Callithrix jacchus: one gene and its partners. The protein of the gene in region 5 interacts with the protein of the main gene of each other region in a pairwise test. Links are inferred from orthologs where the notes say so. Each region holds a gene or a part of one and is shown on either strand. Other genes may lie near its edges. The genes, in order: TFIP11, CDR2, KIFC3, TRIM54, SMARCE1, RALBP1 and CCDC136.

Region 1 (3,500 bases), on a different chromosome or scaffold from region 5:
CTGCCCGAGCTGGAGCACAACCTGCAGCTGCTCATTGACCTCACCGAGCAGGAGATCATCCAGAATGACCGGCAGCTACAGTATGAGCGGGACATGGTGGTCAACCTCTTCCATGAGCTGGAGAAGATGACTGAGGTCCTGGACCATGAGGAGCGTGTCATCTCCAACCTCAGCAAGGTCTTGGAGATGGTGGAGGAGTGCGAGCGGCGGATGCAGCCCGACTGCAGCAACCCCCTCACCCTGGACGAGTGCGCCCGCATCTTTGAAACCCTGCAGGACAAGTACTATGAGGAGTACAGGATGTCTGACCGTGTGGACCTTGCCGTGGCTATCGTCTATCCACTCATGAAGGAGTACTTCAAGGAGTGGGATCCCCTCAAAGTGAGTTGTTGGGAAAATCAACCTCTCCCTGCCTCTCGGTTGGGCTTGCCCTTGCATGATGAGATGGTCTGGTGGGCAGGGAGGGCTGGAGAGCCCGCTGCCCCTCATCTGCTCCAGCTCTCTCCCCAGGACTGCACTTACGGCACCGAGATCATCTCCAAATGGAAAAGCCTCCTAGAGAATGACCAGCTCTTGTCCCATGGCGGACAGGACCTCTCCGCAGATGCCTTTCACAGGTACTGCAGGGCAGGGCTCTGCACTCCAGCTCCTTTCTCCTGGGGGTTGGGAAGGATTGCTGCTGGCCTTATTAATTCTCTGCTCATGCTGACACTGTTTAGGAATTTACATTCATTTGGCCATGAAATCATTTTTTTTTAATTTTTTTATTTCCATAGGTTATTGGGGAACAGGTGGTATAAGGTTACATGAGTAAGTTCTTTAGTGGAGATTCGTGAGGTTTTGGTGCACCCATCACCCGAGCACTGTACACTGAACCCAGTTTGTGGTCTTTTATCCCTCACCCCCTTCCCACCCTTTCCCCGAGTCCCCGGAGTCCACTGTGTCATTCTTATGCCTTTGCATCCTCATAGCTTAGCTCCCACTTAAGAGTGAGAACATATGATGTTTGGTTTTCCATTCCTGAGTTACTTCTTCACTTAGAGTAATAGTCTCCAGTCCTATCCAGGTTGCTGTGAATGCCATTGTTTCCTTTTTATGGCTGAGTAGTATTCCACTATATATACACATACACACATCTGTACATGTGTATGTGTATATATAGGTGCATAGATACTTGTCTGAGCAGGTATCTTTTTCATATAATGACTTTTTTGAGATGGAGTCTCGTTCTGTCACCAGCCTGGAGGGCAGTGGTGCTATCTCAGCTCACTGCAACTTCTGCCTCCTGGGTTCAAGAGATTTTCCTGCCTTAGCCTCCCGAGTAGCTGCGACTGCAGGGGCACACCACCACGCCCAGCTAATTTTTGTGTTTTTAGTAGAGACAGGGTTTCACCATATTGGCCAGGGTGGTCTCTATCTTTTGACATCATGATCTGCCCATCTCAGCCTCCCAAAGTGCTAGGATTACAGGTGTGAGCCACCACACCCAGCCATGACTTCTTTTCCTCTGGGTAGATACCCAGTAGTGGGATTGCTGGATCAAATGGTGGAAGTACTTTTAGTCCTTTAAGTAATCTCCACACTGTTTTCCATAGTGGTTACACTATTACATATGGCCATGAATTCAGCTGACGCTTGTCAAATATTTGTTGAGTATCATGCTTGTGTTAGGTGCTGGGCTTACCTTAGGAGTACAGCAGACAGCCTTTCTACAGCACAGCAGAAAAGGCAGATGGGAAATAAGGTAGTGAGCAAATAAAGGCGGGATGCACACCAGGTACTACAGTAGAGAATTGCAGAAGTGACCTACTTGAGATGGGGATTGGGACAGTGGTCTTAGAGGAGGTGACATTGAAGCTGTGATATTAGAGGGTGAGGAGTGAGCTGATGGACAGAAGTCTATAGGTGGGAAAGCACTTGATACCTGGGAAGAGGCCCTTGTGACCCTAAGGCAGCTCTGCCAGGTGGGCGGGCACTACTTAGGAGACTGAGGTCTCAGGTTGAGAGGACAGTCACAAAAACAAGGAAGAGGCAGCCTCAGGTCTGGCCAGTATAGTAACTGGCCTGACGGTTTCCTTTCATTGGATTTCCATGCTGTTGCATTTTTGTTTCTGATTCTAGAGAGGCAGGTGGTGGTGGTGTACTTGAAAACAATCAGTGTAATTAACTAGCCCGTCCTCTGCCTTTCTCCCATAGGTTGATATGGGAAGTCTGGATGCCTTTTGTTCGAAATATTGTCACCCAGTGGCAGCCAAGAAACTGTGACCCGATGGTGGACTTTCTCGATAGTTGGGTGCACATTATTCCTGTGTGGATCTTAGATAACATACTGGACCAACTCATCTTCCCCAAGCTGCAGAAGGAGGTGGGGTGAGAGTCATGGGAAACAGCTGTCGTCACTAACCACAGGGACAGTCTATGTCTTATCTCAGTGCTGTTAAAATGCCTGGAATTAACAGAATTTGTCAACCCAGCTATTGATCTATAGTGTTAATTTCAGCCTTTTTCTCAGCACTTTTTCCCCCAAGCCACCCTCAGGAAAGAATTCATTTTCTTGATTTATTCACTAAAATTAGAATTGTGCTATTTCTGAGATGTAATACAAATGAATGGGCATACTTGTTTGGCAACGTACAAAGGACTGTAGACCTTGTCTAGAAGAGCATGAGGCCTGCTCCTCCAAGGGCAGCTCTTGCCTTTAACTAAGGGATGCATGTGACTGCCCCGCAGGCAGCATGAACTGTTTCTTCTCCCTGCTTTGCAGGTGGAAAACTGGAACCCACTCACAGACACCGTTCCCATCCACTCTTGGATCCACCCGTGGCTGCCCCTCATGCAGGCACGGCTGGAGCCGCTGTATTCCCCCATCCGTAGCAAGCTGTCCAGCGCCCTGCAGAAGTGGCACCCCAGTGACTCCTCTGCCAAGCTCATCCTCCAGCCCTGGAAGGATGTCTTCACTCCTGGCTCCTGGGAAGCATTCATGGTCAAAAACATAGTGCCCAAGCTGGGTAAGGATTTGGGGAAAATACATTCCACATCCAGCAGCTTTGGTACCCTGGTTTCTGTGGTCAGCAGTGATAATTTAAAACATAGCCTTTGCGTTTGTGAAAGTGCTTAGCACACAGTATTCCTCACTGTGAAAAGCTACCCTTTTGTGCAGAGGCTGAACATAAAGTGTAACTTGGGTCCTTTCTACTGTTTATTTACAACAGTGACTAATAGTCAACAGTGATAATATTGGACTCTGTGCCTTGTGGCTTTCCTGCTTGGCTTTGGCTTCTGGTAACAGGACAGCCATTGGAGTTCTGAAATTTTCGTTGTATTTTACTCAGGTTATGGGAGTTATTTCTGGGTTAGCAAAAAAGAAAAATTATTTAAGAATTGCTATGTTAAGAGCTTAAATTTTACCTTTAAAAGCAGGTTAAAGCCTGAGCAACATGGTGCAACCCCATCTTTACCAAAAACACAAAAACTAGCCAGGCATGGTGGCATGCGCCTGT
Region 2 (4,275 bases), on a different chromosome or scaffold from region 5:
GGGAGGTGGAGAGACACCTAAATTTTATTACCCACAAGAATTATTTTGTTACCCACAAGAATTATTTAGGATGCGTTTCCCTCTCTTTCAAATTACCCGTCTTTATTCTTTTACACAGAAAGACAAAAGTAGCCTTGAGTCTACAATTCCTTCCCTACAATTTCCCTTATTTTTAATTGTGCAAGTATCTAAAAAAGTAAGATCACAGGAGGGTTTATAACAAAAAGTCCCCAGCCCCAACTCAATCCTCCCCTTAGGGAAACTCTTAATTGCTCCCATTTTCAGTTCTGGCAGCTCTCTCCATATTTGTGGAAACGATTTGTTGGATTATCAATGTAAGGTATTATCTGCCGACTCACTGCTAAAATAGATCAGGATTTAACTAACACTCCTCTCCACTTCTAACAATTATTACCTTATGTTCTAATCTTTGAATTATATACTTAAACCTCGATTTTTTTGTTGTTGTTTTGTTGCTCAAACTTAGCAAGATACTGGTTCTGCTGTCTTCCATCGGCTGCACCTTTGCCTTTACTTCAAGGTTGAGAACATTGACCTTCAGGTCTGTCATCCTGCTTAAGAGTTTCCGTGCTTTGTCTGCAAGATGGTGCTAAAAGCTTAACCCACGAGCAGTATTTGCTGGGTTTTGTCGGTGGAGGACAGACAGCGTGCTCTGCCTCGCTGGCTACCAAGTGCTGGGGCTGCAGCCTGTCCCCTCCAGGTGCAATGTCATGTCCCCAGATGCTTAACTTGTGGTCTACGGGTACCTTTTAAAACTCGTATGCAACACTGCTTGCAATTTTTTCCTTCCAAGTGGACTGCTTCGGGCATCCCTCCCCGCCCCAAATTCTCAAGGGGGTCTGGCACCCACCGTTTTAGGGAGCGTCAGAACAATTCCCAGGGCTCAGATATCAAGGAGACAAAAGCTACCGCTCAATGGGCGTTTTCTTAGCCCTAAACTCCCGATCGACCCCGAGTCTCCCCGCCAGATTCGGAGCAAATCTGAGTCAAGATGCGAGAGGGGCGAGCGGGCGGCGGACCAAGCGCTTCTGGCACCCTTGCGCCTCCCGCCGGCACGAAGGACTTCCCTGGACAACCGCTCAACTCTCAGAGGTCGGAATTCTAGACCCTCAGGCCCTCGTTGCCTATCCACGGACGCGCCGGCCTCGGGACACCCACCGCAGGGGTAGGACGCGGCGCGGCGGGCTCCACAGCCCAGACCCCAGAACACGCTCCTAGGAGCCGCACCGCGCAGATCAGGGGGCGGGCTTTCGGCCGCACCCCTTCACTCTTTCCCCGCCTTCTTTGTTTATTCCGGGCCCGACATTGGCTGCATGCCCTCGAGACCGGGCGAGCCGCGCGCCTTTGGAGAGACGCGATTGGGCGAAGTCGCTGCCGCTCGGCCAGCGGCCCGCTCCCGATTGGTTGAGGAGCCGCCGGGGGTTTGAATCGCATCCCCAGCCGGGGAGGGTTCTGCCAAAGTGCCACGTTGGGCCCGGCGGCGGCGTGAGGAGCCGGCTCGGGGCCCTCGCGTCGGAACGCCCAGCCGTTGGGGCCGTTGGGGCCGTTGGGTGGCGCGACGCGAGTCAAGGAGGCGGCCGGTCGGTAGCGGCCGCCGGCGGGAGCAGGGCTGAGGCGGAGTGGCGGAGCCTGGGCGGCGGCGCGTCCCACCCGAGGGCGGCTCTGGCTGAGGGCGGAGGGACCGGGGGAGAGCCCGGGGCAGCGGCTGAGGTGGGACGGCGGCGGTGGGAGCCGCTGCCCCCGGAGGACCCAGCGGAGATGCTGGCGGAAAACCTGGTGGAGGAGTTTGAGATGAAGGAGGACGAACCGTGGTACGACCACCAGGACCTCCAGCAAGGTGAGGGCGGGGGCGCCCCTCGGGCGGGCGGGTGGCGGCCTGGCCCAGGAGGCTCCCGATGCGGAACTGTTAAAAAGTTGCTTTCTCTGGCGGTGGAGGATGCAGGTGCCGGGAAGGGCTCGGGCGCACCTGGCGGCGGGGCCGGCGGTGCCTGCGGATCCCGCCCGCAGGAAGCCTCGGCGCGGGGCCCACGGCCCTGCAAATACGCAGTTCAATATCGGCCCCAGGGCGCGTGGGGGCCAGCGGCGCGCCAGGCACCGTTTTAAGCGCTTTCCCTGGATTAACTGGTTTAATCTTCGCTGCATTCCTCCAAGACAGACCCGGGTGAACCAGGTGCCCCGCAGTAAGTGGCCGAACCCGGGAAGCCGCCCCCTCGCAGCCTGTCGACCCCAGCGCCTTTCATGGCCAGCGCGGAGGGCCGGCCGCTGCAGGTGGTGGTGGTTTTGCGCCTAGCGGGAGCTGTGTGCTCCGCACGTAACGGAACTCCAGGAAGCAGTAACTTTTCAAAAATTTATTTTTTAATGTTTGAGGGTACATAATAGGTGTATATATTTATGGGGTACATGAGATGTTTGGATACAGGCTCACATTGTGAAATAAGCACATGATGGGAAACGGGGAGTCCATCCCCTCCAGCATTTATCCGTTGAGATACTAACAAACCAATTACACTGAAAGTAACTTTTGTTACCCCATTTTCCAGATGGGAAAGGGGAGGCTCAAATGGTTAAGTCGCTTGCCTAAAGCTAAGTGTGGAGGGAGTGTTTTTTGAACCACACACTCGGAATTGTAGTCACTGCTCAAACCCCATCTCTTCTTTTCCATCCTAGTTTACAGCTTTTTTCAATTGGGCGTTAAGCTGTTAGACATAGTTCACCAGATGCCAATTGAAACGGCAGAAGAGCCCTTCTACCTCTGTCACTTCAGTTTGCATGCCAGCTTTCACTTAGAAACAGGCCTGCCGGTGGTGTCTCCAGAGAACAATCGTAGAGCGGCCCGCACTTTGGGACCAGTGGGCCCCCCTTTTTTTCATACTAATAGGAGCTAGCAGTTGGGAAACACTTTTTATGTGCCTAACACTGATAAGCCCATAACACAGTTGCTCATTTAATTCTCCTGGTAACACAATAGAGGTAGTAATGTTGGGGAGTGCTAGGGTTCCCCTTAAGACTCCAGAACATTCTTAACCACTGTGCTGAATACTGAATAATCCTCAAGAATTTTTCCAGGCATCTTCAGTTTCTGTAATTTTGTGTAAATGCTTTCACTAATCTTGCAGTGAAAATTAACATCTCATTTAGTTGAATATTAAATGATCATGATGCTTGTTCATGCTAACCGAACGTGGCAGAAGAAAAGAATCTAGACTTGAATAATTCAGAAAAGGATAATAAGCACCTCTTTTGGAGGAAGATAATTTCTTAAATTAACGTGCAATCACTTTAACCAAAGTAATTCACCTTATTATGCCTATAGACTCCAAGCTACTTAGTGGTTGCCGTGCAGTGTTCGGCACCATCTTCTTTAGGTCAAAAAGACAAATCTGTCATACATTTTAACAAACCTGTTTTCAGATTTCCCCATAAGGATTGATGGCCTAGTTTGATAGTTTCTCCAGGATTTATGAGGCAACCACTGTGCCATTGCAATATTTCCCTATAATTTAAGCAATCTGTATCATCATAACTAAATATTTTTCTTTCTTGTATTTAAGAAGCATAAATCTTTAAGGGAATAGAGGGGGTAGGTTCCTTTTTCAGGTTATTTCCAGCATCTAGCATAATACTTGTTACATACTGGAAGCCCAATTTTAATATTTGTTGAACTGAACTAAAGCACTCACACAAAATTGTTTTCCATGGCTCTCTTCCATCAGGTACCTTACTCCACGCTGCATTCTCCCGCTGTGGGAGATTGTTAGGAACAACTAGCTGTAACACTTCAGTCTACTGAGAAGCAAGTGCAAGGTGTCAGGGTTGCAGGTGGAATTCTCTTTAACCTCTGATCAAAATAAAGTCATTAGCTCTTCAAGTTTAACAAACCTTAAAAACACAGGTCTGGGCTGGGTAGAGTGGCTCACACCTGTGATCCCTGCACTTTGAGAGGCCGAGGCAGGCGGATCACCTGAGGTTGGGAGTTCGAGACCAGCCTGGTCAACATGGTAAAACTCCGTCTCTACTAAAAATACAAAATGAGCTGGGCGTGGTGGCGGGCGCCTGCAGTCCTAGCTGCTCTGGAGGCTAGGCAGGAGAATCGTTTGAACCTGGGAGGCAGAGATTGCAGTGAGCGGAGATGGCACCCTTGCACTCCAGCCTGGACAAGAAGAATGAAACTATGTCTCAAAAAAACAACACATAGGTCTGAACCTCTTTACTGCCAGTTGCATTTCTGTGTTTTTCAAAGGGCTGTTACATTTT
Region 3 (4,105 bases), on a different chromosome or scaffold from region 5:
AAACAATATGGAAAAAAGATCTCCACCTCTCAGAGGCGAGTCTCCCTCATAGAGGAAAAGAGGGAATAATAACAGGCACGAAAATACATGGACATTTTGTCTGTTGGAAGGTGTTAAATGCGACGACTAAAAAGAAAAATGAACCACCCAGACAGCAGAGTAAGGGGTGCCAAGAGCTGGGGCAGAGGTGGAAGAGGAGGAGTGAGCTGTGGTTTTAACTGAGGAGATCAGGGAGAGTCTTCTTGAGGAACAGGCACCTGAGCAGGTGTGGAGGGAGGGAGGGAGGGAGCCCTGTGGATATCTGGGCAGAGAGTGTCCAAGGTGGAAGAACCCATGCGAAGGCCCTGGGGCTGTCTGGCAGATTTTGGGAGCAGAGCAAAGGTGTCGGGAGGGATAGGAGGCTTGGAGCAGAGAGGGCTTGGGTGCCACTGCAAAACCTTAGTTTTTACTGGAAGCGATATGGGAGCTGTTGGGAATAGATGTTGGAAATAGATGCTCGGTGCCGCAAAGAAAAATCAGCCCTGAGACAAAGGATCTTTCAGCAACACAATTTTGGCTTCCGGAACTGCAGGAGGGGTGCTCTTGCCACCATCTTGCCACAAGAGTGGCACGGACGGCGTTGGGCAGAGTGAGGTGATTGCTTTTGGTTTTAACAGGGTCACTCAGGCCACTGAGTTGGGAGGTGATTACAGCGGGTCAAGGACTATTGCGGGAGTAGAGGGAGGGACGGCGGGACAGTGGCGGTGATGAGAAGTGGGCAGATTCTGGGTCATATCTGAAGGTTGAGCCAGCAGGAATTGTAACTGAGAGGATGTAGGGTGTGAACCAGAGTCCATGATGCCTGCCGTGTGCTTGGAGTCATCCAGAAAGGATGCAGGTGCTATTAGCTGGAATGAGAAGGCTGGAGGAGAAACCAGATTTGTGGGGAATGAAAATCAAAGTTTCAATTTGGACGTCTTGAATTCCCACTTGGCTGTCAGGAGCCTAGTTCACTTAATTTTTGTCTCCCTGCTATAAAAATTCTAATTCTTCTCAAGACCGTATGGGCTGCAGAGGAGACGCGCTGGCTAAATGACCGAAAGGGCAACATTTCAAGAACCCTGCTGGTGACTTGGGTCAGTCCCTGGAAACTGAAGACCCTGTCCTCAAAGCCTTTTAAATGCTGAGCTAATGACTGAATGCCTTCCTTGTTCAACACCACAGCTGCTGCAGGGTCCAGCTAGGAATTGGAGAACCAAGTAGAAAATTCCAGGGCACAGGCTGCTGTGGGCTCCAGAGTAGAAGACTGTGCTCCCACAGCCTGTCAGAGCGAGACGGGCTGCAGGCTGCCATGTTTGCCGTTCCAGCCCTGGTGTGGCTCTGTTCGAACACCTGGGCCCTGCGGAGGGGGCGGCGGGGAGAGTGGGACAGAGACTCCAGCACAGGCCAGGAGGAGGCCCCCTGCTGGCACTGGCCCAGCTCCACCACCTCCAAGGAAGATATTCTTGCTGAACTCCAATCCCCCTCCCCAGGGAGCATCCTGATCTCAGAGACACGAGGCTATGGCTTTCAGGTAAGGGACCTGCACCAGAACTTGCCTATGGGTTTACGCTACCTTTTTTTTTTTTTTTTACGCTCCCCACCAAGACAGAATCTTGCTCTGTTGCCCAGAGCTGGAGTGCAATGGCGTGATCTTGGCTCATTGCAACCTCTGCCTCCAGGGTTCAAGTGATTCTCCTGCCTCAGCCTCCCAAGTAGCTAGGATTACAGGCACATGCCACCACACCCAGCTAATTTTCGTATTTTTAGTAGAGACGGGGTTTCACCATGTTGGCCAGGCTGGTCTCGAACTCCTGACCTTGTGATCTGCCCACCTCGGCCTCCCAAAGTGTTGGGATTACAGGCATGAGCCACTGCGCGCAGCCTAGGCTGCCTTTAGATCAAGGAAAAAAACGTTTTTTTTTTTTTTTTTTTTTTGAGGTGGATTCTCACTCTCTTGCCCAGGCTGGAGTGGAGTGGTACAATTTTCGCTCACTGAAATCTTCATCTCCCAGGTTCAAGTGATTTTCCTGCCTCAGCCTCCCAAGTAACTGGGATTACAGGTGTAAACCACCATGCCCAGCTATTTTTGTATTTTTTTTTTAAAGATGGCGTTTCACCATGTTGGCCAGGATAGTCTTGAACTCCTGACCTCAGGTGATCCACCCACCTCAGCCTCCCAAAGTGCTAGGATTATAGGCGTGAGCCACCGCGCCTGGCTTATTTTTGTATTTTTAGTAGAGACAGGGTTTCACCATGTTGGCCAAGCTGGTCTGGAACTGCTGACCTCAAGTGATCTGCCTACCTTGACCTCCCAAAGTGCTAGGATTACAGGTGTGAGCCACCACGCCCGGCCAAGGAAAGAAACATCCACAGGGTGAAGTATTGATGCCTACCTTTAGGTCTTGCAAACATGTCTGAAGATTATTCAATTTAGATATTTCCAGTGTCTTCTATATTCTCAGAAGCTCCTGCCAACTGCCCGGATCTGACTCACAGAGCACCAGGGATTTTGTTTGTTTGTGTTATATTTTTCGTAGAGATGGGATCTTGCTGTGTTGCTCAGGCTTGTCTTGAACTCCTGGGCTCAAGTGATCCTCTATTTTCAGCCTCCTGGAATTCTGGGATTACAGGCCGAGGTCAGGAGTTCCAGACCAGCCTGGCCAATATGGTGAAACTCCATCTCTACTAAAAATACAAAAATTAGCTGGGCATGGTGGTGCGTGCCTATAATCCTAGCTACTTAGGAGGCTGAGGCAGGAGAATTGCTTGAACCTGGGACCATTTTTAAGACCATTTTTCTAATGATGAGTATCTATGCAGCCAGGGCATCAGGGCATCAGAACCCAGCACCACCAGTTCTTGGCAAGGGACTTGAGCAAGTCACTGGATCAGCCTGCACCTCAGTTTCCCCCTTTGTGAAAAGGGCTAACAGTAGGTGGTGATGAGGTGAAGCAGGTAAAGTGCACGGCCCAGAACCTTGCTGGCAGGAAGTGCCCAGTGTTCACATTCCGACTGTCTCATGGGCGAATCTCTGTCCAGTGGTTCAGAATTAATTGAAACTCCTTTAATCTGAAATATTTTACCCTGATTTGCCTATGAGATTATTTTATACACAATTCCTGGCACAGAGTAGATGCTGTATGATATTTATTTTTTTTGGGGGGGGGGAAGAATTTTATTCTTGATGCCCAGGCTGGAGTGCAGTGGTGCAATCTCATCTCACTGCAACCTCTGCCTCCCAGGTTCATGCGCTTCTCCTGCCTCAGCCTCCGAAGTAGCTGGAACTATAGACATGTGCCACCACACCTGGCTAATTTTTGTATTTTTAGTAGAGACAGGGTTTTGCCTTGTTGGTCAAGCTGGTCTTGAACTCCTGTCCCTCAGGTGATCTGCCTGCCTCTGCCTCCCAAAGTGCTGGGATTACAGGCATGAACCACTGTGCCTGGCTGTGCTCTATATTTATTTAGGGGATTTTTTTTTTTTTTTTTTTTGAGATGAAGTCTCACTCTTGTTGCCCAGGCTAGAGTGCAATGGCGCAATCTTGGCTCACTGCAACCTCCCAAGTTTAAGCAATTCTCCCGCTTCAGCTTTCTGAGTAGCTGGGATTACAGGTGCCTGCCACCACACCTGGCTAATTTTTGTATTTTTAGTAGAGATGGGGTTTCACTATGTTGTCCAGGCTGGTCTCAAACTCCTGACCTCAGGCTATCTGCCTGACTTGGCCTCTCAAAGTGCTGAGATTACAGGCATGAGCCACTGCGCCTGCCTATTTAGAGGAGTTTGAACACCATTGTGTGACCTGGTGTTGGGATCTGAACTCTCTTTATACTGTCTGTGTGATCTCGGGCAAGTCACAAAACATCTCCTAATCATCAGTTTTTGGACTTATTAAAATGGCAATAGTGGGCTATTACTGGGATGTTATAATAAGATAATGTAATTATGGCATGTTACGGGATGCAAAGAGAAGGTAGACGACAGGGGCTGTGAGTCAACGGCTAAGTTGTTAGTCTGATTGAACAGTGTTACTGAATTACGAAATTGAATGATTGATTATTATTGGATTGTTTTTGCTGCTATTGCT
Region 4 (2,855 bases), on a different chromosome or scaffold from region 5:
TTGGGGCCGCGAAAACTTTGACCCCTTTCCCCCACCTCAGGGTTGGGACGCGGGGCAGAGCCACCAGAGCATTCTCTGCGTGGCTATTTTTTAATAAAAGTGCTGAAGAGCTGTTGGCTTCTGTTGTTGGGGGGGCGGCAGTCACAGCAGGGTGGGAACCTGTGGGAAGGTGGGGCCCCCTAGCCAGCTGGAAGGGAACAGGATGCGCGGGGGAGGGGGGCTCCGGGAGAGCGGCTTTCAGCCAGGTCAGCCAGGTGCCTGTGGACCCCAGGGCTCCCCAAATCCCCAGGACCTCAGGTCCCGGCACCACCGCCTTGCCCTCAACCCTCTTCCAAGGGTGCTGGGCTCACCAGTTCTCTCCTGGCATCACGGAGGTGCCCAAAAAGGGTTCATTTGGCTTCCACCCGCCCAAACGGTCTCAGGTTCCAGGAAGGGCAGAATGGTGGCGGGTCGCCTCCAAAGCCGAAGCTGAGGGATTGGGCAGCGAAAGGAGATACGGGTCTGGGAGCTCGAGTTCTTTATTAAGATCCTCCCGGGGCGGGCGCCGAGCTGGGCTACTCTGCGGTCTCTGCGCAGATCCTCCCCGACCCTAGCGCAGGCTCTTGACCAGAGTCGGGTCGGCGCAGACCTGTGCCTGGGAAAGAAGGCTTAGTGAGCAGGTGCTGAGAAGGCGCGAGGCAGCTCGAGCCCAGCTCACTCGGTCGCCCGCCACGTGGGTTTCTCCTCTACTCAGCCAACTCTGCTTGCCCTCCCAGTAACCCGGAGGTACGGTGGGGGTGGAGGAAGTGTGCTTTTCCGCCCTGGGGGATGCACCTTTGTGGCTCCGGGGTAGGGTGGTACCGAGGATTGGGGGACAGTAACCGGGGGAGGGGACATGAGTGCACCAGCCAGGCCCCATTTCAAGTCCCTCAGGACACTCACCTTAAGGCCCATCCGGCCGCCCTTCCTCCGGCCCCGCAGTGCCCTCGTCTCCGTCCAGGGCCACTTCCTCATCTTCTTCCTCTCCGGAAGTGCCTGGGCCCAAGGAAGGCCTGGTGAGGTGGAGTCCCTGCCTTTCCTGCCATTTTGCCCGCCTTGCCCCCACATGGAGGGTCGGAACCCCAGTCCCGGTGGCCCTTGGCCATCTCCCTCACCCGGCTGGAAGTCGATGGTCCGCAGCATTTCGGCCACGTGCTCTACGCTCACGGTGAATGGCTCCATGCTCTCATAGCCTGGCTCTGGCCGCCCTGCCAGTTCCACCTTCGACATAGCCCCGACCCTGCAGCAACCACACTGGGCTCAACTGGCAATGCCCCAGCACCCTCAAGCCCCTCCCCCAGCCAGTGGAGCAGCGCAGCCCCCTCCTTTCCCTTCCCGCTGTGCCTACTCACTTATTGATCAGCTCCTTGGCCTGCTGCAGGGGAGAAAAGGAGGGTGAGAGTAAGCACTGGGCCAACCTGGGCTAAGTCCCATTTCTTTCTCACCACAGTCCTGCAGGGTAGGTGGGAAGGTACATCCCATTTCATTAAGGAGAAAATGAACTCAGAGGGGGTGAATTGCCCAAGGTGGTAGGGGCAAGGCAGGTCCAAGAGACAAGACTTGAACCTGGATGTCCAGGTGCCAAGGCCCCGACTCCAGCCACTCTGCAGCACTGCCACCCTCCCCTAGAGCCCACCTGGAGGTAGAGCGCCATCTGTGGCTCTTCCATGGACTGTATGGCAGACTCCACCAGCTTAGAGGAGGCCTCCAGGTGATCTCCGTACTGACGGATGAGGCCACGAACACGCTGCAGCTTCTCCTCTTGCTCCCGGGCCAGTGCCTGCAGCAGCTCGCCCTTGCGCTCCTCCAACACTGCACACAGGCTCTCGAACTTCTGGTTTAACAACTGCTTCTGCCTCCGGCTATTGTCCTGAAAGATGGGGAGCAAGGACCAGGGAAGGCGTGGCTGAGACCCGGTGGCTGGGAAATCCCAGGGTACTGGGCCTGCTCCCCACTTGATGGAGCTCAGAGAACCAAGACAGAAAGTGACCCGTCCACAGTGCCACTGCTAGTGGCTGAGCCAGAATCCAGCCCAGATCTCTTCTATAATAAAAACACAATGTTTTAAAGTAGCTTCAATGAGTGCTGTCTATATCCCTAGCCCTGGTTTTTACTTGCGTTATTCCATTTAATTCTTAAAAAGAACCCATGAGGTAGCTGGTGTACCATTATCATCATCACTGTTTTATGAGGTTAAACAAAACCAAAGCACAGAGAAGTTAAATAACTGGATTAAAGTTTCGAGGCAAAGCTGGAATGCATACCCAGCAGCCTGGCTAAAGCCCATCCCACCACTTTCAGGACCCCAGAAACTTTCAGACCAGTTTGGCCACAGCAATTCTTCTGGAAGGAAGCCCGGGGTCCGCAGACCCGCCAGTTGCTGTTCCCCCCTCCCTCTAGCCCAGGCTCACCTCGATGGTCTGGCACACTTCCTCCATCTGTGTGATCACTGCTTGCACCCGGTCATTGCCTGCCACCAGCATCGCAATGCCATCGCTGAGCTCACTCTGACACACAAACAGGTCAGCACTTAGAACTGGGACCTGGTCTAGAGCTACACCCCTCACCCCAGCCAGGGTTGCCTAGAAGAGGGCTGTCCCCTTCACCCCACCCACCATGAGGGCATCTACAGCCCTCTAGAAGACTTGAACTATCAGGAGGTACAGAAGCACATTCTAGGGATTCTAGAAGGAGGTGGAGAGAAGAAGCCCTCCACCACTAAGTGGGAAGGAACAGACAGTCTCCATCCACCAGATGCCAGGCACAGGGCTAGATGCTTTATCTGAAGATTCGTTTCTTGCATCAATTCTGATGCAAGAAATTCTTGATGATTATCC
Region 5 (3,717 bases):
TTGTAGTTTTTAAATCTTAGCTAGACTCATGTAATTAATGATCTGAAGTAAAAATTCAAAGCATTATTTGGTACACTGTTTGAAATTGTGGACCATTAAAAAATGAGACATATTTTCTGTGTTTGACATTTGCTTTAGAGAAAATAATTAAGTAATTATAGAGCCTGATCCTGTCTTACAGCGAAAACTAGAAGCTGAACTTCTTCAGATAGAGGAACGACACCAGGAGAAGAAGAGGAAATTCCTGGAAAGCACAGATTCGTTTAACAATGAACTTAAAAGGGTATCTGTTTAATATGTTAACTATACTTTTATCACGATGCCTGTTACTTTATTTTTCCTCATTCTTTTTTCCAAAATAGTGTTTTAATGAATGTTGTTCACTTTGAAACAGGGTTAACTTTACTATATAACCTGTAAGATCTTTTTTTATACAATTTTTCCCATCCTCTGGCAGAATTGCAATAAATTTGAAATATCATGGAGTATACACATATCTACTAGGCCTATAAATGCTAGAGCCCTCTGATATTTTAAACTCCCATACAGTCAATTACTTTTATTGTGATTTATTCATAAAATGTCTTCATTAGATGTAATTCATAGTTTGCACTTTACATGTAGACAAGGATATCTAGTTGGTAGCCCAAAATATAAAATGGAAGCCTTATGTATACCCCAGAACTTTCACTGTTTTGCCTCACCAGCTGCTCTGGAATATCGGATGTTATACAACTGCTACAGCAGCTTTCTTTTCTTGTAGACCCAAGAGTTTCAGAGAAGACCTAGAACCACATTTTTTTGCCACACACACAGACACACAGGTGTATAGAATATATATATATATATAGTTTGTGGGCAAGAAAACCAACTTTTGAAAGAATATTTCTGGCTCAAAAATTATAAGAAAACATTACTAAGAGTTCTGGTTTATTCTGACTAGTTGTGCGGTCTGAAAGTAGAAGTGGATATGGAGAAAATTGCAGCTGAGATTGCACAGGCAGAGGAACAGGCCCGCAAAAGGCAGGAGGAAAGGGAGAAGGAGGCAGCAGAGCAAGCTGAACGCAGTCAGAGCAGCATCATTCCTGAGGAAGAACAAGCAGCCAACAAAGGCGAGGAGAAGAAGGACGACGAGAACATTCCAATGGAGACAGGTAACCCACTAGCAACAAACACAAGGAAGTGCCAAGACTTTGTACAGCTGTCTTTAATTTAGATTTTTCTTTCTAAGTGCAAGTTTTCTGATACCTGCCACTGAGAGTGATTCCCAGTACTGAATTTGACATGATATTGACATTCAATATTTTAACCTTTATTGCTTACATTATTTATCAAGATGTAGTTATTGCTTTAAGATCAATTATCTTAACAGCATTGGTGTTAAGATAATTGTCTTTGGTGTCCTAGGACAGCATTCTTCAAAGTAATACCGATAGGCCAATTCTGCCCACCACTTGCTTTTGTAAATAAAACTGGAACACAGCCACACTTGTTTGTTTACATATTGTCTATGGCTGCTTTGGGGCTAAAACAGTATAGTTGAGTAGTTGCAACAAAGACTGCCTAGCCTGCAAAGTCGAAAATATTTGCTGTCTGGCTCTTTACAGAAAAAAATGCCAACCCTGTCCTAGAAAAGCCCTTACTTCTAGGTATATTGATTTTCCTGATTGAAAGCAGCATCCCTCAAGGTAAAAAATAATAGTAATAACTTGTATGAATAAAACTTATATAAAGTACTGATTACAATGATTATCATTTGTAATTTTGAGATGACCTAACCTCATAGCACTGTTTTGACACTGCCTAGTACACTGTGTAAACAGGACTAAGCTAAAAGTTGTTATGGAAAACAAAACCAAAGGCTTCCTGGAGCATCGCTGCAAGAAGTGGGAGGGACAGTAGTCATACTTGGTACTCAAATGACAACCTCCAAGTGTCATACTTTGTAGTCAGATGACAACCATCTGGAAAACATGTAATGAAATACAGATCTTTACCAGGTATTTTTGCAAAATTTAATCCAGCAGGTTAACATTTTAGATAGTCATATGTTAGGTTTCACTATCTGAGTCTCTGTTTTGTATGAACATGTTTTTTATCGTAATGAATTTGGAGCATGAGCACATCTTTGTGGTTAAAGTAAGAGCTTGAAATTTAAAATACTGATTTTTGCAACTGTAAGAACACTCTGTCCCTTGCCTCTGTTTTGGCACCTGTGAATGAGGCATGTCTTATGCTTACGGTTTGCAGGTCTTTACTCAAATTCTGTTCTCCTAGCTCAAGGAAAAACCTGAAGAAGATCGTATGACACTATTAGAGCCAAAAGCTCATGCTTTTAATTTCCTACAGGAAACAGTCCAGCATGACTTTAAGAAAGTATCTAAAAGATCAACCTTATATCATTTCTACAACTGCTTCTCCTCATTTAATCCTTAGCACTACAGACTGACTCTCATTTACTGTCCAATAGAAATAAAATGCAATTCACATGTGAAATTTTAAATTTTCTACTAGCGACCTATTTTTAAAAGTTAAACAAAACAAGTGTTTTAACAATATATTTTATTTAATTCAGCATATCCTAAGTAACATTATTTCAACACGGAAGAAACATTTTTAAAATCAGCTTTCCTTTTTTTAAATAGTCTTCAAATCCAATGTATATTTTATTTTTCTACACATCTCAATTCAGAAGAAAATTGTTATCAAAAGTATTTGATCTGCATTTATTTAATAAATTTCATAAATACAGCTAAAAGTTAGGTTTTCATACCCAGATTGTTCCAACATTCTTAAAAGTTCTGTAGTCACACTGGCTCATTTCAGGGGTTTAATAACCACATGTGGCTAGTGGCTCCTGTATTGGACAGCCCAGTTGTATGCTGTCAGCATAACTAGAGTAAAATTTCATCTTGGAACTGACAGTGACAAATATGTGATTACAGAGGAGACACACCTTGAAGAAACGACAGAGAACCAACAAAACGGTGAAGAAGGCACGTCTACTCCTGAGGACAAGGAGAGTGGGCAGGAGGGGGTCGACAGTATGGCAGAGGAAGGAACCAGTGATAGCAACACTGGCTCGGAGAGCAACAGTGCAACAGTGGAGGAGCCCCCAACAGATCCCATACCAGAAGATGAGAAAAAAGAATAAATGTTGCCTTGTTTTATGTGTTCTAAATACTTTTTTAAATGAAAAAATGTTTTTTGGTTTTAATGGTGTTATGTGGTTTGTGTATTAATTTTTTTCTTGTCCATATCACACCACCAAAGGCTTTTGGACCATTTAGCCTCATGAACCTAATGGCACAGTCAGTCACCCTTCTTAGTGTTGTGAAGATGGCCCTTTTCTTTGGATCTTGTTTCTAGCCCTCAACTGCTGAAAGCCTCAGAATTTAGATTAATTGAGAAAACACCCTCCTCTTTTAGAGAATTATCCTTTGATGCTGCAGAATCTACTGTTACAATGCCTTCCTACAGCTCACTGGGGTGCTTACCAAAGCCATAGCTTTAAACCTTCCCAATCCCCATCAACAGTTTCCTGAAAATCTCCTCTCTTGTTTACTTCTGCAAAGGGTAGCTTCTTAAAACTGTAATCATGTATGAGTATGTATTTGTTCACTTCCCCTTTTTTACTTTTAGTCAATGTCAGATACCAAGAGTTGTGTTAAGAAGTTGAGTGTAGGCTACAACTAACTATGCTTGGATCTTACCGAT
Region 6 (2,991 bases), on a different chromosome or scaffold from region 5:
TCTCTGAGCTTTCAATGACAGATACTTTAATTGTGGAATTTTTAAAGCAAAAAAAGCAATGGAAACTTCATTTTTATTCTAGACCAGTCTATCCTAGACATGCTAATTATGATTGGCTGTGCTGAGTCCTCATTTACCGCGTGAAATGCAAATGTCTGTAAATTGCAATGCCTGGGGCCAAGCCAGGCCAGTGGACTTGTGTGCAGTTCCCACTAGAGCCAGGAGCGGCTGACTGCAGACCCAACCCAGTCCACTGGGTTTTGCAAACACGGGCTCCCTCCCAGCAGCAACGGCTTGTGGAAGGGTGGCAGGCTGCTGCTAGCATGCATGCCAGGGGCCTGGCGTGCTCCCCACACCTGCAGAGGTGAGGGATACAAAGTGAGCTGAAAACAAAACACTATGTTCTCCTTTAGCCTTGAAGAAGTGCCTCAACCAACTCCTCGGCAGCCACAGGGTGCTCAATCTCTTCACAGGAAGAATGTGTACAAAAAACTCGAAGCTTTTCTTTTTCCCAAATGGCTGTTGAATTTATTTGCTTGATCAATAATGGTCCTGGCAAAAATTAGTTAACCAATGTGAGACATTTGTAATGAAATACTAATTTAAAAAATCCATGACACCTTGATAGAAATTAGAGTTTACACAAACAAAAAAGGAACCTTCGATATTGCCAGCAGCTATAAAGTGAATGTACTGAGACCGACAGGACAGCAAGAAGGCATCTGCACATTTATATATGACACCCAACCATACTTTCAGTCACCAGAATATCTTCTCTCCAGATTTAAAAAAATAGTATGCTGATTTCTATAACAAAGCTTTTTTTCCGTACAAAAATCAAATAATGGCCAACGAGTCACAACAGTGCAATAAGTAGAGGATTAAAAACTGCATCAAATAGGTGCTGAAAATAAATACTACCCAGGAGGAGGAGGAGAGAGCCCTCGTGTGGGGTTTGTTTTCATCCCCTTGAATGTCTGTGGGGTTTGTCTTCCGAGCCACGAGCCTGGCCTGTCACGGTGCTGTTCACTCTGACATAGTGTGACTGCAGCACGTTGCCTCCAGAGCCCGGCCTCCCAGAAGCCTCAGAGCATCAGAGCATTCGTCTCATCAGATGGACCAGAAACAAGAAAATGGGGCGGAGTGAATCACAGCTATCATTCAAAGGAAAGGAATTTTTTTCTATTGCTCAATCTTGTCAATTGGGAGTCCACCAGTAGGTTCACCAAGACGATAGGGATCATTTCAAACTTTTGTTTAAAAGAATATATATGGCTTATTCAGGCAAGGAGACATGTACATTCTAGCCCAAGCAAGCAATCGGAGTCATTCTGTTTTTAAGGAAGGTCAGTCATTTAAAAGACTTCTGGTTTGAGCAACATCCTCTGTGGATGCACCCGGCCAAGGTGACTACCTTACCTTTGACCAACCCCGTGAGAAGGCCTTTATTGGTCCCCGCAGTGAGGAACCGGCGGGAACAGGCGGCCTCCTCTCCGCAGGCCTGCGCTGCCAGGGGCAGGTGGGCAGGCTCCACAGGCAGCCCCTGTCTATGGCCAAAGAGGCCATCCTGGTGACTCGGGCTTATGGACTGTGGTTTAGAACTGCAGAAGGAGTTAGGAGGGTGGGCCAGGGAATACCCACCAGGTGCCACTCTGGCCAGTCAGAGAATGTGAGGCAGCTCCCCCATAGGGATCTGCACCGAGAAGGTGTGGAAGGCACAAGCAAGAGTGACGGTACCAGAGATCCCGGAGGGCGCGGCTCGTGGCAGCCACAGCAGGCACAGCGCTGACCTGGTGTGGTTCCCCCCTTGAATGAAAAAGAGATCCTGATTCTGCTGTGATAAAAAAGCAAAGAAAGACAATTTTTGGTTTAAAAAGAAGCCACTCAAGGGTTAAAATAGTTATTTTAAGTTAACAAAGAAAATTAATCTTCAAATAAGCTGACACTATCTGGAAAACTCATCTGTCCCTAAAGCCCACAATGCGTCCACTGCTTCATCCTCCCACAGAACCTGAGCCTGACGCAAAGGAGTCAGACATGTAACAGAGGAAGAGTCTGAGAAGAGAAGAAGACACCTTTACAGAATGTACAGCGAGAGAGCCAGCCTGGCCCCCGGGTTACAGTAAGATGCACAGGTCCTTTCAGTCTCGTGGACTCCGGACGGCCGCGCAAGCTGCTCAGATGGACGTCTCTTTCCTGTCCCTGCTGGGCGATGGCTTCGCCGGCTCCTTGCCTGCCTTTGGCTGCTCTTTAGCTGCTTTCGGCTCAAGGACGCCGTCTCTGGGCGGCTGTACAGCAACCCCGCGCCACTCAGACTCCTCGTCCTCCTGAGCTTGCTGGTCGGCCTTGGCTCGCTGCATCTGGAGCAGCCGGAGCTGCACTCGCAGCTCGATGATGGCCTCACGCTCCTCATGAATTGCTTGATTCAAATGATTGTTCTTTATCTTTGGGAATGACAGAAAGGGCAGTTATCACTTCAGGAAGTCAGAGGACGATTTCTCAGGAGCAGACCGCAGTTAGCAAGGGCATCCTACAGAGCAATCTCGTTTTGTTAAAGTCAGTGGGTTGTGAAACAGAAGACAAACACAATGGGAATGCACAGTAAGCCACATGACTCTTCAGAATGTAAGGCTGGAAACCCTGCTCCTGGTTACAGGAGAGAAACGCATCCATGTGCCAGCAGAAAACCATTATTTTAATAATTCAGTATCCTAGTGTTTAAAATAGACAACCTATATATAATTTGGAAGTGATCTCTGAACAGCCTTTAAGGAGAAAATAAAAGTAATTTTACTAGCAATTAGAGAGGAGAGTTAGAGATCAGATAAAAGACTAAATTTGTTTCAAAGGTGAATCTCCTTTGTCTTTTGTGAATGGCATTACTTTAATTCTGAAATGTCCTACTCAAATCAAACTACAGAAAATTACTATCACTTCTAAATCATCTGGACACACTAGGCAAAGTTTAGGTACTATGGAACAGCAGCAGCC
Region 7 (3,500 bases), on a different chromosome or scaffold from region 5:
CTACAGTGGTTCCCATCTTAATGGAAAGTGGGTGCTCCATTTTCCTGTGAAGCGATTGGGCGGGTGGAACACAGACAACTCACATTGGGAGGTTCAGCCCCAAAGGACCACAGCCCCTAGGCTGGACAGCTATTTCATTTCACCCAGCCCCATTTGCTGGGGCCCCTGTTCTTCCTGGGTTGCATGCCCAAGAGAAGTACCAAACAGATGAAGAGGGAAGCATTTGTTAAAAATAGTTGTGTACTAATAAGTAAAAGAGGATTGGGTAAAAGAAGAGTCACCATAAGGGTAGGAAAAGACAATTTAGGTGCAGAGCCCAAGACTCATTAGTTCTGGCAGCTGTCTGACATGGCTTAATGGCCAGACATAGTGTCCTGAGAGGTGAGGTATGATCTCTATATATGCTCAGGAGGATTGGCTCGCAGTCCCAGACCACCGGGCCACACCCTTGCACTGTGACATGCTGGAAGTCATGTTTCCTTGAGCTAGTACAGCTTTGTCATGAGGTTAGGAGCTTCACAGGTAATGCAGCCCCCATCCTGCCCTACCTCCCACCCACAGAGTCTGGAGGTGGTGCTGTACTACAAGGCCAGCCAGATGAAATTAGATGGACTAGCAAAAGAGGAGGAAAAGAGAGAGGAGATGGAGGAGGAAAAAGAGAAGGAGGTGAAAGAGGAAACAAAGGAGCCATGTGGGGATGAGCTAGCAGCTGAGCCAGAAGATCCTGGGGAAGCTAAATCCACAGAAGATCAGGAGGAAAATAAAGAGGACAATGAAGACGAGGAAGATGACATCAACTCTTCCCTTGAAAGTCCCAAAGAAAACAATCCCCTCAGACTTTCTGAGAGCAAAAAGGTAACCAGAGCCAAAGGCTAGATCAAGTGGGAAGTGGGCGCTTAGACTCCGGTGCCTCAGAGTTCATGGGTGGCCCTGCCAAGGATGTATGACTCCAGGAGTAGAGGCCTTGCGCTCTAAGGCTTAGGCCTTCGGGGAGGTGGAGATGCAGAAGCGGGAGGCGAGAGCAGTCTGTCTGCAGGAAGTCAGGGGCTCAGCCCCATTTGCTGTGGAACCACCTCCCAGTGACCACCTTTTCTGGGAACCAGCGTGGGGTCTCTGGAGTCCTTTCATTTGCATAGTAGCCTTTGTTGCCTTCCTTATGTCAGGACTCTGCCCTCATCCGTCTCTTTGGCACTGCAGGAAGGACGTTGACAGTGTAAAGTCTACTTCAGGCCATTTCTGTCGGCCTGGGCACATCACTCAGTTTTTCTATGGTGCCCTGTTAGCATTAACCTTTGTTGTTGCTGTTACGGGTGTGTCAGGGGATAATCTCTTCTTTGTTTGTGTCACCCCCTGGATTCTGTATATCACAGGATGTGAAAGTGGGGCCTGAGAGTGATAGTGAAAATGTTTCACATCTGTGCAGTAGGGGCATAGACTAGTCCAAGGAGACCATCCCTTCAGTTGCTGGATTGTTGAGAGGCTGGGGTGGAGGTATCCTGGGATATATTTGCCAGGATGCTAGGGGTAACTTATCAGTAGTATAGACACACTTCCATATTTTAGTAACTGGTATGTTTCCGCAGGTATGTAGCAACTGAATTCTTGCCCTGGGCTTAACTGGGGCCTCAGAGCCCCTAAAGAGTTAGAGTATTTCCTGTGTAAGTCCTCAGCTTACATTACAGGTTCTTTCTGTCCTAAGCAGAGGTAAAGAAAAAAGCCTCTTGTGGTGGGATTATCCAGTCAACTCTAAGGATATCTGGAATTTCCAGCAATTCGGTCTTCAGCACTCACTAAGAATCCAGTGTGTAGTGCTCTGTTGACCTTGTGCCAGGGACCGTTACCTAAGATGTGAAAAGTCAGAGGCACTGCAACCCCTCCCATTATTATGTTTCCTTCAACTCATCATGTTCTACCAGCGCTGGTTCAGGGCCTCACAGATGTCTTTACCTTGGGTGCCACATTTCTAAAGCTAGACCTGATTTTTCTACTTCAAATACATTCTATGTTTCTTCATATGGAGAGATTCCTTTGCCCCCTGATCCTGCATCTTTTGCAGGCAGCTCTAGGGCATGTGTGTTACCACTTTGCAAATCCAGTTTCTGTCTGGAAGATGGTTGCAGTGAAAGAACTAGCCCTTCTCCCTTGTCAGTTTGTTTCAGTGCATTTTGTCTTACAATGATATCATTAGATTGCTAGGGGATCCAAGGGACCAGAGCCCGAAATACTAAGAAACTTATGGAAAGCAGGCTAGAACAAAGGGACAGGTGGCCTGGTAGAAGACTGGCTCTTCCTAGGGCCACCTAGGAAAAGCATCTGCCCTACTCCTCTAAGGAAGCTGTTTACTCTCTGCAGCGTCACAAGAAGGGTCTAGGTGCAGATACCTCGTGCCTAACAAGATATGAGAGGTCTATGACAAGACAGAAAGAAAACTGGACTCACCGCCTGACTTGGACCTGGCTGCTGCTTAACCCATTCAATTTTGCAATTCCTGCAGACTGCTGGCGGAAAGAACCAAGGCCCAGGCAGCAGAAAAGACATGCAACTGCTCTAGCTTACCTGTTTTTTAACCTCTTGATTCCTTTCTCTTTTCCCTTTGTTTTCTCATCTTCATTATCTGTTGGATCCATGTGTTTATGTCTCACATCTCCTGGTCTCTCCTCGTGCTTCTTTCTCATTTTGGTTTGTTGCAGTCATCCCCTACCCCCGATCCCCCCATCTTCTCCTTGCCTCTTGTAGGCCTGGTGGTCATCTCGGCTTTGCTCTGGTGCTGGTGGGCTGAGACGTCGTCCTAATGCAGGTACTGGTATTGCTTCCTCTCCTTCTGAGGGATAGAGGGAGGGTGCAGGTTGCCCTGGCCTCTCCTCTTTCCCTTTTCTCCCAGCTGCTCGCTTCTTGCTTGTGCCATTTTACAATAGGTGATGCTCAAGTCTGAGTTTTAGTTCTGACTTTTCCTTGGGCTACTGCAAAGCCTGTGACATCTTGGCGCATGTCTTCATAATGCATAGGAGGTTGGAATGCTTGCCAGAGACATGGTTTGAGTTTCAGTCCTTGGCTGGGAAAACCTTGGATAAGCCCAGCATGGTTGCTACTGTCAAAGCTGCCTCACTACTTCTTTTTCCCCCTCATCTCTGTGTGATGGCAAGCCTGACCACTTCTGATGGGCTGACATTTGTCTGCCAGGCTGGCCTGGGCCCTCTTTGTCTTTGTTTAACCTCAGAGCCAAGTTCTCACAACTGTTGCTACCCAGGATGGCAAAATACGGAATCCCTCTTCTGTTGGGAGAGAGAAGAGGTCCGAAGAGCTGTGATCCTCATGATCCTCCCAGGGGCGTTGGTAGGAGGGCAACCTAAGTTGGTCTTTCAACCTTGGCGAAATAGAACTGAACACCTACTGTATTACTCTGCACCTTCTACTGAATGGTTTTCTGCTTCTGGACTTCCAGTCTCCAGAAAAGTCAGAACAGAATGCCGGGAAATATTTTATAGTTCTCTGTTTATTTC

What was found.
Region 1: the proteins of SMARCE1 (region 5) and TFIP11 interact in binary tests that used the Homo sapiens proteins (3 or more experiments, as listed by UniProt). The two-hybrid records come from large-scale screens. The link is inferred for Callithrix jacchus from reciprocal best matches to the Homo sapiens genes SMARCE1 and TFIP11.
Region 2: the proteins of SMARCE1 (region 5) and CDR2 interact in binary tests that used the Homo sapiens proteins (3 or more experiments, as listed by UniProt). The two-hybrid records come from large-scale screens. The link is inferred for Callithrix jacchus from reciprocal best matches to the Homo sapiens genes SMARCE1 and CDR2.
Region 3: the proteins of SMARCE1 (region 5) and KIFC3 interact in binary tests that used the Homo sapiens proteins (3 or more experiments, as listed by UniProt). The two-hybrid records come from large-scale screens. The link is inferred for Callithrix jacchus from reciprocal best matches to the Homo sapiens genes SMARCE1 and KIFC3.
Region 4: the proteins of SMARCE1 (region 5) and TRIM54 interact in binary tests that used the Homo sapiens proteins (3 or more experiments, as listed by UniProt). The two-hybrid records come from large-scale screens. The link is inferred for Callithrix jacchus from reciprocal best matches to the Homo sapiens genes SMARCE1 and TRIM54.
Region 6: the proteins of SMARCE1 (region 5) and RALBP1 interact in binary tests that used the Homo sapiens proteins (3 or more experiments, as listed by UniProt). The two-hybrid records come from large-scale screens. The link is inferred for Callithrix jacchus from reciprocal best matches to the Homo sapiens genes SMARCE1 and RALBP1.
Region 7: the proteins of SMARCE1 (region 5) and CCDC136 interact in binary tests that used the Homo sapiens proteins (3 or more experiments, as listed by UniProt). The two-hybrid records come from large-scale screens. The link is inferred for Callithrix jacchus from reciprocal best matches to the Homo sapiens genes SMARCE1 and CCDC136.

Annotation. Positions count from the first base shown.
Region 1 is NC_133502.1:197,225,308-197,228,807, reverse strand, and holds part of TFIP11 (tuftelin-interacting protein 11), read left to right. Parts: coding exon 1-381; intron 382-498; coding exon 499-617; intron 618-2,196; coding exon 2,197-2,365; intron 2,366-2,764; coding exon 2,765-3,008; intron 3,009-3,500. UniProt on the Homo sapiens protein: Involved in pre-mRNA splicing, specifically in spliceosome disassembly during late-stage splicing events. Intron turnover seems to proceed through reactions in two lariat-intron associated complexes termed Intron Large (IL) and Intron Small (IS).
Region 2 is NC_133513.1:22,965,431-22,969,705, reverse strand, and holds the start of CDR2 (cerebellar degeneration-related protein 2), read left to right. Parts: upstream 1-1,475; 5' UTR 1,476-1,779; coding exon 1,780-1,858; intron 1,859-4,275.
Region 3 is NC_133521.1:15,730,806-15,734,910, reverse strand, and holds the start of KIFC3 (kinesin-like protein KIFC3), read left to right. Parts: upstream 1-1,305; 5' UTR 1,306-1,330; coding exon 1,331-1,552; intron 1,553-4,105. UniProt on the Homo sapiens protein: Minus-end microtubule-dependent motor protein. Involved in apically targeted transport. Required for zonula adherens maintenance.
Region 4 is NC_133515.1:87,714,420-87,717,274, forward strand, and holds the end of TRIM54 (tripartite motif-containing protein 54), read right to left. Parts: intron 2,526-2,855; coding exon 2,430-2,525; intron 1,889-2,429; coding exon 1,655-1,888; intron 1,394-1,654; coding exon 1,371-1,393; intron 1,259-1,370; coding exon 1,134-1,258; intron 1,015-1,133; coding exon 923-1,014; 3' UTR 922-922; intron 635-921; 3' UTR 501-634; downstream 1-500. UniProt on the Homo sapiens protein: May bind and stabilize microtubules during myotubes formation.
Region 5 is NC_133506.1:92,638,896-92,642,612, forward strand, and holds the end of SMARCE1 (SWI/SNF-related matrix-associated actin-dependent regulator of chromatin subfamily E member 1), read left to right. Parts: intron 1-181; coding exon 182-283; intron 284-943; coding exon 944-1,154; intron 1,155-2,945; coding exon 2,946-3,154; 3' UTR 3,155-3,217; downstream 3,218-3,717. UniProt on the Homo sapiens protein: Involved in transcriptional activation and repression of select genes by chromatin remodeling (alteration of DNA-nucleosome topology).
Region 6 is NC_133514.1:53,411,178-53,414,168, forward strand, and holds the end of RALBP1 (ralA-binding protein 1), read right to left. Parts: intron 2,445-2,991; coding exon 2,178-2,444; 3' UTR 501-2,177; downstream 1-500. UniProt on the Homo sapiens protein: Multifunctional protein that functions as a downstream effector of RALA and RALB. As a GTPase-activating protein/GAP can inactivate CDC42 and RAC1 by stimulating their GTPase activity.
Region 7 is NC_133512.1:118,365,540-118,369,039, reverse strand, and holds part of CCDC136 (coiled-coil domain-containing protein 136), read left to right. Parts: intron 1-561; coding exon 562-855; intron 856-2,352; exon of another isoform or gene 2,353-2,690; coding exon of another isoform or gene 2,691-2,792; exon of another isoform or gene 2,793-2,797; intron 2,798-3,500. UniProt on the Homo sapiens protein: May play a role in acrosome formation in spermatogenesis and in fertilization.